Linked DNA regions of Mytilus edulis. The protein of the gene in region 1 interacts with the protein of each later gene in a pairwise test. Links are inferred from orthologs where the notes say so. Each region holds a gene or a part of one and is shown on either strand. Other genes may lie near its edges. The genes, in order: transcription initiation factor IIA subunit 1-like and histone H4 transcription factor-like.

The links.
Region 2: the proteins of transcription initiation factor IIA subunit 1-like (region 1) and histone H4 transcription factor-like interact in a two-hybrid assay, tested with the Drosophila melanogaster proteins (2 studies listed by BioGRID). The link is inferred for Mytilus edulis from reciprocal best matches to the Drosophila melanogaster genes TfIIA-L and Hinfp.

Annotation. Positions count from the first base shown.
Region 1 is NC_092346.1:68,137,086-68,144,613, forward strand, and holds the start of transcription initiation factor IIA subunit 1-like, read left to right. Parts: upstream 1-4,234; 5' UTR 4,235-4,364; coding exon 4,365-4,385; intron 4,386-6,447; coding exon 6,448-6,549; intron 6,550-7,528. UniProt on the Drosophila melanogaster protein: TFIIA is a component of the transcription machinery of RNA polymerase II and plays an important role in transcriptional activation. TFIIA in a complex with TBP mediates transcriptional activity.
Region 2 is NC_092348.1:81,079,812-81,087,297, forward strand, and holds the start of histone H4 transcription factor-like, read left to right. Parts: upstream 1-4,302; 5' UTR 4,303-4,516; intron 4,517-7,486.

The DNA.
Region 1 (7,528 bases):
TGTCTCTTTTAAAGGATTTACATTATTTGAAAAGCAAAATAAATTACTATAATCAATTTTCAATTTTTGTGATGATGTTTTAAGAAAAATGGTATAATGGTAAATAAGATAATAATTCAACATTCATAAGTCGAAATGAAGCGGATTTAAGACGAATTAAGGTAGTATCATACAACGAGAAATCAATATTTATATGTCTTATTACTGAAATTGTCCAGTTTCTTAAATACAAAAAAAAAATATCGAATTTCAGTATTATTTGTATAGTTTAAATCATGATTTTAAACCAATTATACATTTTGCTAGATATAGGCCTATTGTCAACTACTTTTTTCAATTAAATAAAATTTTCAATTTAAAAAAAACAAACTAAATTTGAAACTTTTCTATTGATGCATTAAGAAATGATTACGAAAGCAGGGTTTCAATTCCCTGGGGGCAAAGCTGATCTAGCTAAAGTACATTTCTTTGGGTGTTATTTTTTGGTCCTTTAATTTTTGGACATATCTGATCTTTTATATCCTTCAGACCGTAGTCAGAGACATATATACACTGTGTATATGTTACAGTGAATTTGTATAATCAGTGATTATGTAGAATCCCTGAAATTTTCCTGAAATTTTCAGGGATTATGTAGAATCACTGCCTAGTTTAGGGATTATATATAATAACTAAAATTTTCAGGGATTATGAATAATCACTAGAAAAAACGTCAGGGATTCTACATAATAACTGAAATGAAGAAATTAATAGTTTTATTTATAAAGAAAATGAATGAAATTGAAATTATTTATTCTATAAAATCACATAAAAACATCATTATAAAGTAACATAAATTGTAAAATGTTAAGCACAATATATCAAAATGATAACCCAATTTTTAGCTCACCTGGCCCGAAGGGCCAAGTGAGCTTTTCTCATCACTTGGCGTCCGTCGTCCGTCGTCGTCGTCCGTCGTCGTCGTCGTCCGTCGTTAACTTTTACAAAAATCTTCTCCTCTGAAACTACTGGACCAAATTAAACCAAACTTGGCCACAATCATCATTGGGGTATCTAGTTTAAAAATTGTGTCCGGTGACCCGCCCAACCAACCAAGATGGCCGCCATGGCTAAAAATAGAACATAGGGGTAAAATGCAGTTTTTGGCTTATAACTCAAAAACCAAAGCATTTAGGGCAAATCTGACATGGGGTAAAATTGTTTATCAGGTCAAGATCTATTTGCCCTGAAATTTTGAGATGAATCGGACAACCCGTTGATAGGTTGCTGCCCCTGAATTGGTAATTTTGAGAAAATTTTGCTGTTTTTGGTTATTATCTTGAATATTATTATAGATAGAGATAAACTGTGAACAACAAAAATGTTCAACAAAGTAAGATCTACAAATAAGTCAACATGACCAAAATGGTCTGTTGACCCCTTTAGAAGTTATTGCCCTTTATAGTCAATTTTTAACCATTTTTCGTAAATCTTAATTATCTTTTACAAAAATCTTCTCCTCTGAAACTACTGGACCAAATTAAACCAAACTTAGCCACAATCATCATTGGGGTATCTAGTTTAAAAATTGTGCCCGGTGATCCGGCCAACCAACCAAGATGGCCGCCATGGCTAAAAATAGAACATAGTGGTAAAATGCAGTTTTTGGCTTATCACTCAAAAACCGAAGCATTTAGGGCAAATCTGACATGGGGTAAAATTGTTTATCAGGTCAAGATCTATCTGCCCTGAAATTTTGAGATGAATCGGACAACTCGTTGATAGGTTGCTGCCCCTGAATTGGTAATTTTAAGGAAATTTTGCTGTTTTTGATTATTATCTTGAATATTATTATAGATAGAGATAAACTGTAAACAGCAAAAATGTTCAGCTAAGTAAGATCTACAAATAAGTCAACATGACCAAAATGGTCTGTTGACCCCTTTAGGAGTTATTGCCCTTTATAGTCAATTTTTAACCATTTTTCGTAAATCTTAGTTATCTTTTACAAAAATCTTCTTCTCTGAAACTACTGGACCAAATTAAACCAAACTTGGCCACAATCATCATTGGGGTATCTAGTTTAAAAATTGTGTCCGGTGACCCGGCCAACCAATCAAGATGGCCGCCATGGCTAAAAATAGAACATAGGGGTAAAATGCAGTTTTTGGCTTATCACTCAAAAACCAAAGCATTTAGAGCAAATCTGACATGTGGTAGAATTGCTTATCAGGTCAAGATCTATCTGCAACAACAAAAGAAAGAGAGTTTTTAACGACCTCAGCTGGCTATACAACCCTTGCACAATCAACTGAATTTTGCAGAAATCATTAATAGGATAGATTGCCCTTATATGATAATTTTTTATTACCTTTTTGGTTTTTTTGGCAAAGTGGGGGGGGGGGGGGGGGGGGGGGGGGTGTTGCGCAACAACAAAACTACTTCACAACTTTCTCATTACTTTGCATTTCTTGTTAGATAAATTTTACAAAAATTCTCCCCTGAAACAACTGTTGAATTTAAACAAACTTGGTTTAAATCACCACTAGGATATCCAGGGACCACTGTGTATGATGACCCTGCCTGCCCACATGGCTGAAATTAAACATAGGTTTCAAATGCACTTTTTAGTATTATATCTCTGAAACTAAACGACAGTACAACAGTTGCATTTATCATGCAACAATTGTAAATAAAAATATCAGGTGAGCGACACAGGGTCCTTGGACCCTCTAGTTTTTAAATGTTAGGCACACTACATGAAAATGTGAAAAACAATATATAAAAATAATATGCTTCACATCTGTTATTACCACAATATCCACATTTTAGGAAACCTTTTCCTGCACATATCGAATCAGATTTTAACGACACGCCTAAGTGAAATTAAGTGTTTAGTAAAACATCTGAAGGTTACCACAAGAAAAGATAGGAATTTGCAACCTTGAACCGGTACGAGCAAGAAAGATACCATGTTTTGTAGTCAGGTGCTACCTTTTTCAGATTTTTTTTAAAACAATTGTCATTATGTTTTTCGGGTTTCCTTTTCCTTTTTTACCATGTGGAATTGCTATGAGAATATTACACCAAATGCAAGCTTCCTCTAAAATTTGTTTCTATGTGTCAATCCTAAGTTCTGCCTGTTTTCCCTACATTTAGATGCCTAAGTTCTCACAGTTTGAATGTCTTGTTCATTTAAACAAAAACAAAAACACACAAAACAGATGTTCCATAACCTTCTTCACCATTTGCTTTACATGTATCACAAATAACATGCTTTGTGGTTTAAAAATAGAGCATAAATAAGGCCGTTAGTTTTCTCGTTTGGATTGTTTTACATTGTCATTTCGGGGCCTTTTATAGCTGACTATGCGGTATATGGGCTTTGCTCATTGTTGAATCCGTACGGTGACCTATAGATGTTAATTTCTGTGTCATGTTGGTCTCTTGTTGACAGTTGTCTCATTGGCAATAACACCACATCTTCTTTTTTTTACCTGAATATTCATTTGACGCTGGCTTTTAATAAACAAACAATACATGTAAAGCTATTGCTATAAAGGGAATGTTGATATTATTAATTTTGAAGTCTTCAACTTTATCTCGAAACCCTGTCACGGTTGATTATATCTTTTAGATCAATCTCTGTGTTTAAAAGCAAAATTATTTCATCTGGCAAGGTCTATATTATTTTTTTTTATCAAACAAAGGATAATTAAATTATTCATAATCCCTGAAATCATATTAGGGAATTTGTAGAATAATTATTAAAAAGTTCAGTGATTATGTAAAATCACTGGTCATTTTCAGGGATTATATATATAATTACTAATGGTTTTAGTGATTCTACATATTCCCTGAAAAATCAGGGATTCTACATAATCCCTGATTATACAAAATCACTGTAACATATATATGTCTCTGTCGTAGCAAGGATTTGTATAGTCTCACTATACAAATCCTTGGCCGTAGTATACAATCCAAACAATCGGGTTGCTTCTGAATTTAAACACAGATAAACAAACAGGCATTTCAAATAGGCATATGTAACACTTATAAAAAAATATATAAAAATGCTAGACGACATATCGATTTCCAATGGGACAGTAATTCTGTGCATTTCGATATTTTAATTTAACATATGCAATCTTTTCTTGTAATCATTTCGTATTTCCCGCGTCAAGTTATCCTCGAAATATATCGCGAGACAATCAATCAGCTGGCAGGTGCTTGTGACGTCAACAGTAGCAGCGCCCTCTAGACATACGGGATTTAATACCAGCTATATAAGCGCAGCAGTGGCAGTCGACTTCGGCTTTCTTACAGCCCACAAGTCAGAGGAATATATGACTCGTTTTCCTCGGACATAAACAAACCATTAAATAATGGCTACACCTAACCAGGTGGTGAGTTTCAAAAGAAAATGATTGTTATGTTAAAATATTTGTTGTCTAAAATGTCAATACCGTTCATAAAAAAAATCATATATCGAAAACAATGGAATCCATCTTGATTTGTAAACTGATATAATCAACCACCGAACAACAGGTGGACCTGAATGAAAATTTGAATGTACTTGTGGAAAACCATAAAGCATCCAACATTTTAATTGCTATATCAGAAATACCACTAAAATGCTCATTACAAGTTGTATTTCATGTATTGTACACAATATTTTGCATCTTTTAAACCCCCCTTTTTCATGTTAGTTTAAGGTTCATGTGGACCCTATGGCTAAAATGGCCGTATTTTCACCTCAAAATTTACTCTGAGTACAGGCAAACCTGTGCATCTGGAAAAGTTTTAAGGCATAGCATGCCCTAGATAAATAGAATTCAAATGTATTGTATGATTTAGAAAATTCATAACTGAACTGGATTTTGCCGTACACTTTTTTTCGTCCCTGCAGAAGATGATAAAATTAACAAACAGTTGGGTTTACCTTGATATGGTCCACTCAGGTACACAGTTTAAATAACCAATTATTGTCAGGTATCTATTGTCCATCTCATGTCCATGTCTAGCAATACAGCTCACTTCAATTATTACCTGTGGGGAAGTTCTCAAACCTGTTTCCCAACTTAGTTTATTTTGGCACCTTCTGGAGGAATGAAAAAAAGTGCACGGCAAAATCCTGGTAAGTTTTTATTTTTCTAAAACATAAAACATATTTGAAATTTATTTATCTAGGGCATGCTATGCCTGAAATTTTTTACAGATGCGCAGGTTTGTCTGTACTCAGAGTAAATATTGAGGTGAAAATACGGCCATTTTAGCCATAGGGTCCACATGAACCTTAATAGAAGTCTTATACATGGATATAAATGAATATTAAAACAAATGTATAAATGTCATAAATGCGTTTGTCAAACTTTGTATTTGCCCTTATATTTTGTGAGCTTGATCTGCTTTATTTTGTCATTACGTAAAAAATGCTTTTTTTTACAATATGATATCTGAGGGTAGTAATGAGGGGGGATAGGAGGGATCCTGATCCCTAAATCCCGGGCTTAAAAACATGAAATCCCGAAATCAGGGGCTTAAAAACATGAAATTCTGAGGTCCTGAAATTCAAAAAAAAGAATTCCAGATCCCGAAAGGTTCAATCCTGAAATCCCGAGCTTAAAAACACCCCATTCCGGAGTCCCGATAATGGTCCTATCCCCCCTCAGTAATGCCCTTTATCATCGGTTAAAATTCTACCTTGATTTGTTAAAAAATATCCTTATCATGACTTGCAGAGTATCATCATTTTTCGGAAAAAATTAACGCGATTCATTAAACAATTTTAAATATCGTCTGAAAGAATAACATTTAATGGTCATGCATAAAAAATTACCTTTAACGTTATATGACAAGAATTTTCCCGTTATTCTAATATCATATGGCAAGAATTTTAGCTGTTACTCGTCCATTACAAGCCTCATATCTGGGTGTTCATTTCCTATTCTGGTAATACTTTAGTTTCTTTAAAAATGTCCTGTATCAATATTTCTTCGAGTAAACAGGTATTTGATAAAAATGAATAAGTAGATATATTATGCTGCCCTGTGAATTCTGTATGAGGCAGCTGCACTTGACTCTTATGATAAGAGTCTTATCTTAGTTGACTATTATTGTCAGTTTTCCTACTAAAGGTTGGGGGTTCTCTCTGGGCGCTTCTGCTTCCTCCACCAATAAAAACTGACAGGAACAAAAAAGCATAGTAGTGTTAAAGGTGGAGCTAAACACAAATCAATAAATCTCTATAAACTAAGAGAATGATATTTACATCATACATACAGGGTGTTTATACTTAAATCGTAAAAATCATTTTATATGATTGTCATGTAAGTTGTAACTGTAGATGCTTTGTTAAAGAAAAGCAGAAATTGTGCTATAAATTTGTACTAGAAACAATACCAATCAAAACAATGTTGAAAAGGTTGAAATGATAGATGTTAAATGTTTTCTGTTTTCTAATTGTAGCCGAGATTATACAAGTCAGTTGTTGATGATGTGATAGCTAACGTAAGAGAAGCCTTTCTAGATGAAGGAGTTGATGAGCAAGTCCTACAAGAACTTAAACAGGTGACATTATTAGTCATAATAGAACTTAATTATCATTAAAATTTTTTTATGAAATTAAAACTTTTAAGAGTTGTCTAAACTCACAGTAGAAGTAGAGGTTTTCATGTAATAATTTTGAGTTAAAGTTGAATGTATTATACAATAACTTAATTTAGAATATAACGCGTCTTCTGATTGGCTGACGTTATTTTGTTATCATAGACATAATTTAGTCATGTGACCGTGACGTCATCAACGTTTTTTCATGGTTTTCTACGGTTTAAAATGGAATTTAAAATTAAATTATAAGAAATGACTAATATTTTTTCTGTCTATTCGAAATAAAATAAAAAATGTGGTGCACACTGTAAAAATAACCTGCTACGCGCGTTATTCAGTGTGCACCAAATTTTTTATGTTATTTCTTCATAGACAGAAAAAATATTACAGTCATTCCTTAATTGTGTAAAACCTAAGAAATTTTGTTAGTTCCAGTATATCAAGGAAAATGATTTAATAATTTGTAACTTTTCTTGGTGTCATACATTTACATGTTAGTTCACTATGTTCACCAATTGAAAACAATGATCCATTAACAGGAACCAGTTTTATTTGGGTTGTTTTAACATTTTTTAAAAACATGTGTTGGCTTACACTTAAAATTATATCCCACTTTTGATTATTATTTATATATGTGTATAACACCAAATAACTGTTTTCCAAAGGACAACACAAGCTGTAATTTTGGAAATGGGTAAAAGATAGATTTTGTTACTGAAAAATCACTAAAATTCATCTCAAACTACTGTGAGCAGATTTCAAAGATACATATATGCATACACTTATTAATCGAAAATTTATTTGAGAGTTTTAAAGCATGCAGTTTACAACAAAAATAGATACCATCAGTGATCTGGAAGGTTTTTTTCACTATGGGCCCAAGGCCCCTCAAAAATAAATTCAATGGGCCATTTGAAAAATAATGGGCCATGTTGTCAAA
Region 2 (7,486 bases), on another chromosome or scaffold:
CAAACTGTAAAGCCAGTACGGAAGCCGGAGTTACTGGAAACAAGTGATTACAGGAAAATGAGTGACTCATTCTATGTTCAGTGTCGATGTGGCATGCAGTATGTTGGCGAGACAGAGCAGCCATTCAACTAACGCATGAATGGTCATCGAAGTGACTACACTTGCAAGCCCTACCTACCCATAAGTCGTCATTTGAGATCACATGGGCACGCCCAAGCTGATCTCAAAAACTTACCACCACAATCATAGACCACAACGAGGGTTGGTCGGAGGTCGACAGAGTCGCTCGGGAAAGATTTTGGATAAGAAAGTTAAGGACAGTTTCCCCAGAGGGCATAAATGAAAAAAGGAAGATTCAACTAAGAAATTCCTATACAAATATGAATTCTGTAATATCATTCAATTTTTTACAGTTTTCTAGTTTCCATTTTATTAATAATCAATTGATATTCAGGGTCATTTCGTCTATCTGCTATTTTCCGTTTCTTGTATGCAATTTTATTCTTATTTGAAATGTGTTCAAATTCAAACAAAAAAAACCGTTAGAACACGCCCCTATTGACTGCAGTGTGATAAATATAGATTCCACAACTGCAACAAGTGTATTACGATATTTCAACACTCGAGGCAGTTTAATTATAATACTCCCAACGTCCAAAGTTGAACTTTTATGTAAATGTGGTACATGAAATCATACTAGACTCACTTGAAAGACAGCTACTATGTCAAAATAGAGATCCAGAACAAAAATGTGAATTGATATCTAGAAAATTGTGATATAAACAATTGCACACGTTATAAGAGCTAGAAGCACTGATTTGCACAATTAAACAATCAAAAATAAAATAAATAGCATGAATATAGATTACCTCGACCAGTTTCTTCAGTTGAAAATTTTGATAAATAAAGATTAAGATACCATATATGCAGAAATGTAAATGTACAAGTTGTATGATATTCAGGATGATGGAGAATTTTTAATTTACAGTCTTTTATTCTGAATAAGAGCTTGTCCTGAAGGACATGAAAATATTCAGTGGTATTATAAGGTTAATATCTCAATGAAATTAAGTTTTGAAAGTTCTATGGTATTCCATTATAAATGAACGTATATCAGATGCATACCAGCATGGGTTCTTTAAAGTTTTCATGGTTTCATACCGATGGCTACAGTGCTGAAGGTACGTAACAAGGTTGCCTTCTGACTCGGGACGCTGGATATTTCAGTTCATCACAAAGGTTTTTTTCACCCACCACACTTCTCTGATACCGACCGAGGCGGGAGTTTAAACTTGAATGATTACATTGCGGGCCTCGGTTGGTCAAAGTCCCCAAGCCTACTTTGACCTGGAGATCAATCTTCAGATATCTCTGCGGTTTGTCTGTTCCCGTCGAGTGTCCCGGTAGTTCTTTTTGAGTTTTTAGGCATCATCCAACGATAATAATAGGCTTCTCGGTGTCCTAGCACTCCCTTTGTGTTTAGATAGACTCAAAATTGAAAAAACTGATAAATAAGAAAAACAAATTTTATAAAAAGAAAAAACATGATAGCAAACATACTAAAAAATTTAAACAAATTAAAACACAATTACAGAAAGAGATGAGAAATGCCTATTGGAATTATATCGAAAACATGATTTTTGACATTGAAATACAAGAGCCTGAAAATTCGAGATTTAACAAACAACCTTAAAAACTCTTTTCATACATAAAAGGCCAAAACAATGAAAACACTGGTATTGCACCTCTTAGGAGTGAAGGTCTACTTCATACAGATCCCTTGAAAAAAGCTAACATATTAAATGAACAATTTAAATCAGCTTTTACATCTGAGACCAATACAGTTATCCCTGACAAAGGTCCATCAACACATCCAATAATGGACGACAAAGACATCAACAGAGAAGGCATCTATAAATTAATTAAAAATATAAACCCAAAAAAGGCAACAGGACCTGATAACATCACTGGAATAGTGCTTAAAGAAAACATCAACACATGCACAGACATACTCACTCTAATTTTTACAAAATCAATGCAAACAGGAAAAGTACCTCACGATTGGAACCACGCAAATGTAACACCTGTTTTCAAAAAAGGAGACAAACATCATCCTGGTAACTATCGTCCAATTTCACTTACATGTATTTCATGCAAATTACTAGAGCACATAATTGCAAGCAACATTATGAAACACCTTGAATCTAACAACATACTTTATGACTTGCAACACGGCTTCAGGGCAAATAGATCATGCGAATCCCAAATAATATCACTAATTCACCAACTATGTTCAAATAACGACAAAAATATACAAACCGATCTTATCATCATGGATTTCGCAAAAGCCTTTGACAAAGTTCCACACAACCGTTTACTATATAAACTTAAATTTTTCGGTGTATCAGATCAAGCCGCAAACTGGATAAAATCTTTCCTTTCAAACCGTACACAAACAGTTATGCTAGAAAACCATTCCTCTGATAACTTACCAGTTACATCAGGTGTTCCTCAGGGCACTGTATTAGGTCCAATACTATTTTTGATATATATCAATGACTTACCTGACTACTTACATCATAGTCAAATCTGGCTCTTTGCTGACGATAGCATCATTTACCGACAAATAAAATCACCATCAGATTGCCTTAAACTCCAGGAAGACCTAGAAGGAGCAATCAAATGGAAACAAGACTGGCTAATGCAGTTTCACCCTGATAAATGCAACATACTTAGAGTGACCACAAAGAAAACACCTATCCATTTTTATTACAACATGCACGGTCACATTATTGAGTCAGTTGAAAATGCAAAATATTTAGGTATAACTATTTCATCAAATTTAAAATGGAACAAACACATTCAGAACATGACATCTAAAGCAAATAAGACCCTTGGATTCATCAGAAGAAACTTAAAAATAAACTCAGTAACCATCAAAGACCGAGCATACCAAGCCCTTATTAGACCAAAACTTGAATACTGCTGCACTGTCTGGGACCCCTACACAACAGAGAACATTAACTCCATAGAAAAAGTTCAAAGACGTGCAGCGAGATATGTATGCTCAAACTACAAATATACTGAAAGTGTAACAAACATGATTAACACACTCCACTGGCCAACATTACAAGAAAGGAGACTCAAAAGCAGATTAAATATGTTCCATAGAATAACAAACAACAAAATTGCCATACCACATACTGACATATTAATTAAAAGCCAATCAAACACCAGGTCTAGCCACGAACAAACATACCGACAAATTCGATGCAGCAAAGACAGTTACAAATTTTCATTTTTCTGCCAAACTATAAAAGACTGGAACAAATTACCAGAACCAATAGCCTGCAGCACCACTACTGAGTGCTTCAAGGAGAAACTCACTAGAGAGATGCTCCTTGACACTTACAAACACCTACATGTATAATATGTATCTTGTTTTTATCTTATACCAAAAATTAAAAATAAAAATTGAAAAATATTACTTACATATACATTTGTATCATAAAAATTGAAAAATTATTTAGAAACCAAAAATATATATTTTTAATCATTAACAATATTATCAAACCAGACATGCGCCGGAAAGTAATCATCAACCAGTTGATGTTTTTCTGTATATAAAGAAGAAGAAGATGAAGAAGAAGATGCATGGGGGTTGTCATTTTAAATCTGGAGACTGATCGTTTTAACACGTTAGTAACACAGCTACGTTAATCTCCGAATAACGGAGCAATCTACCAGTTCATAAATACATACATAATACGAAATAAAAACATAATCACCTAATAAATTATTTCGAAGGGGAGAGATGTGGACAACAAACAGACAAACTGCTACAACATTGCAGATATTGGTGACCGTCATATGATACTAGCAACTTGGACGTAAATCTTAGATGTTTAAGCTAACTTCGACTTAATCAAAATGTCAGTTATTCAGTGATAAAATCTGAAAGAAAAATAGATGCAGAAATATAATATCGCACATAGTTACATTAATTCATACCTGTTGACTTGTCGGCTAGGTGTGACGTACGCTAACGACGATAGTGAAAGTAGAATAATCGGAAATCCCAAATACTTTTAAATAGCAATTATGTATAAATTATGTTCAATAGATCCGGGATCAGACCGCTGGTCTTTAGAAACATGTTACATTTTCAAAAAAGCTTGTTTATATGTATGCTCTTCTGACATCTATGACTTTGTCCGATTAATACTATATATATATTCTAAAATATCATGGTCAATGTAGTCCCGCCATTGCTTGATTGTTGTTACCGCCACTTTCGATTTTGATTTTGGATTTTCCTTTTTGAATTTTCCTCGGAGTTTAGTATTTTTGTGTTTTTACTTTTTTTTCAGCACTATTAGCTGTTTCGTGGCAGTCACTTTTTATTGATGAAGGAAGCCCAAATGCCAGGAAAGAAACACCGACCTTCGGCACGAAATATTTACATTCCTTGTAAATTCAGATTTCTTGCCACAATATCCTTGATATGGGAGTATATGTTAGTATCCTAAATTTCTCAGGGTTTTGTCATATTGTAAATTAATTGTATTCATCTTTCAGAATTCATTTTCTTGTTTGTTTCACAGAAATGATAATGGTTTCCGGTCAGGGAGAGTTAAACGAAACCAAGTAATTTATATACCCACAAATCACCAAAGACACAGAAATTAACAACTATAGGTCATACACCGTATGACCTTCAACAATGCACAATTAAGGCCCATACCGCATAGATTAGTCAGCTATAGAAGGTACCGAAATGACAAATATAAAACAAATCAAACAAGAAAACTACCGGCCTAATTTATGCAGAAAATAATTCACGAAAAACAAATATATAACACAGCAACAAACAACAACATTTGATATTACAGGCTCCTGACATTAGACAGGCACATACAGAATGGGGCGGGGATACACTAGTTTGTTGGTACTAGTTACCCCTCCCCCTCCCTTACCAGAGGCAGTAGTGTAGTAGAACAACACTTAGAACAAACTATAAAAATCAGTTTAAAAAGCTTAGGCAGCACTGAACCATTTGATTTTCGGGGGGGGGGGGGGGGGGGGGGGGGGGGGCTATGGGGTTTTTTTCTGGACAATCTATTTTTTTCGCAACAAGTCGAAAACATTTTTTTTCTTTCAATTTTAGCATTACATATAGTGGCAGCTGAGGGGGAAACAAACAATTTTTTTTTTCTCAGAATCAAAAACAAATTATTTTTTTCTCCGAAAACTGGAAACAAACTTTTTTTCCAAAAAAAACATAGCCCCCCCCCCAGAAAATCAAATGGTTGCTGCCTTAACTCATCAGATGTATACAAATAGAAATGCATCTAAAAACACTAGACGCCCACGAGTACGTATACACGTATGATACGGTGCTTTTTGTCCGCAATTCGCTTTTTGTCCGCTTTTGCTTTTTGTCCGATAATTTTGCTTTTTGTCCGAAACTTTTGCTTTTTGTCCGTTGCTTTTTGTCCGTTTTGCCTTTTGTCCGATTATTTTGCTTTTTGTCCGAAACTTTTGCTTTTTGTCCGTTGCTTTTTGTCCGTTTTGCCTTTTGTCCGATTATTTTGCTTTTTGTCCGAAACTTTTGCTTTTTGTCCGTTGCTTTTTGTCCGTTTTGCTTTTTGTCCGATAATTTTGCTTTATGTCCGATATAAAATGTGTATATTTTTGGCAGGTTTCATTTTGAACTTCAAAATACCATGTCCTTTTAGGAGTTAAATACAGACCATACTCACATTATAAATGATTTGTACATGAAATTTCATGTCTTTTACAATATATCGCATTACCTCTAAAATGGCTCAAAGCACTAATATCCTAGACCCGTAGGTGTTGGTCAACAGAGGGCAAGGGGAATACTCTTGTATATCCCTTAGTCTAAAAAACAACTATTGAAAGCTGGCTAAACTAAGACATACTCCAGGTAGGCCATTATACCAGAAGAAGAGGTAGTCAAACCCTTATAAATGGCTTATAGCACTTATGTCCTGGATCTACACGAGTTTATCAGCAACGAATTAAAAGGGACATGAGTTTCGCCGGTATATCACGAAGTAAAAATAAACCTCATTATTGCCAGCTATTCAAACTAAGAGATTCTCCACGTTGGCCATTATACCAGAGGTATAGGTAGGCAGTGCCTCTTAAATGGTCCATGGGCCATGGCACTTATGTCCTCGACCCGTACGAGTTGGTCAGAAGAGGGTAAGGGGAATACTCTAGTATATCACACAGTCCACCAAAAATAGTGACGGCTGCCCAAACTAAGACATTTTTAGGTGCGCCCTTATACTAGATGTTGGAGTAGTCATTCTCTTAAAAATGGCTCATAGCACTTATTCTATAGACCCGAACGAGTTTGTCAACAATGAGTTAAAAGGGGGATGAATTAGCCCGGTATATAACGAAGTTGAAATAAACTGTTGCCCGCTGGCTAAACTAAGAAATTATCCACGCGGGCCATAATATAAGAGGTCGAGGAAGGGATTGTCTCTATAAAATGACCATGAGCACGTATGACCTAGACCCGTACGAGTTAGTCAGCAAAGTGTAAGGTTGGTACCCTAGTATATAATAAGTCGAACTAAACTATTGCTGGATGGCTAAGAGATTCTCCGCGTGGGCCATGATACCAGAGGTAGAGGTTGTCATTGCCTCTAAAATGGCCTAAATCACTTATTCCCTAGAGAAGTACGCGGTATCATCAAAGGGTTTAAAAGGGAGTTGGAACCTCTGTTTACAAAGAAGTCGAAATAAATTATTGCCGGCTTGCTTAAGTACGAGATTCTCCAAGTTGGCCATTAATCCTAGGTTAAATGTGTGCATTGCCTTTTAAATGGCTGAAAAAACTAACGCCCTAGACCTGTACGAGTTTGTCAGCAAAAGGTTAAAGGGGGGATGCGATGCCTCTTTTTACAACGAAAATATAAATTAAGCCGACTGGCCTAACTAAGAGATTCTATACGCGGGGTATTATATCAGAGGATGAGGTAGGCATTACCTCTAACATTGCCATAACACGTATGTCCCAGACCCGTGTAAGTTAATCAGCAAAGGGTAAGGGGGGTACCTAAGTATATCACAAAGTCGAAATAAACTATTGCTGGCTGGCTAAACGAAGAGATTCTCCACATGGGCCATGATACCAGAGGTAGAAGTGGCCATAGCCTCAAAAATGGCCACTTATGCCGTAGACCCGTACCAGTGCTTCAGCAAAGTGTTAAAAGGGGGAGGTGGTATCTATGTTTACAACGAAGTCGAAATGAATTATTGCATGCCGGCTGGCCAAACAAAGAAATTCTCCACATAGGCCATTATAACAAAGGTAGTGGTGGACATTGCATCTAAAATGGCCCATACTTCTTATTCCATTGATCTGTACGAGTTTGTCAGCAAAGGGTAAGGAGGGTACCCTGGTATATAACAGAGTCGAAATAAACTATTGCCGGATGGCCAAAAA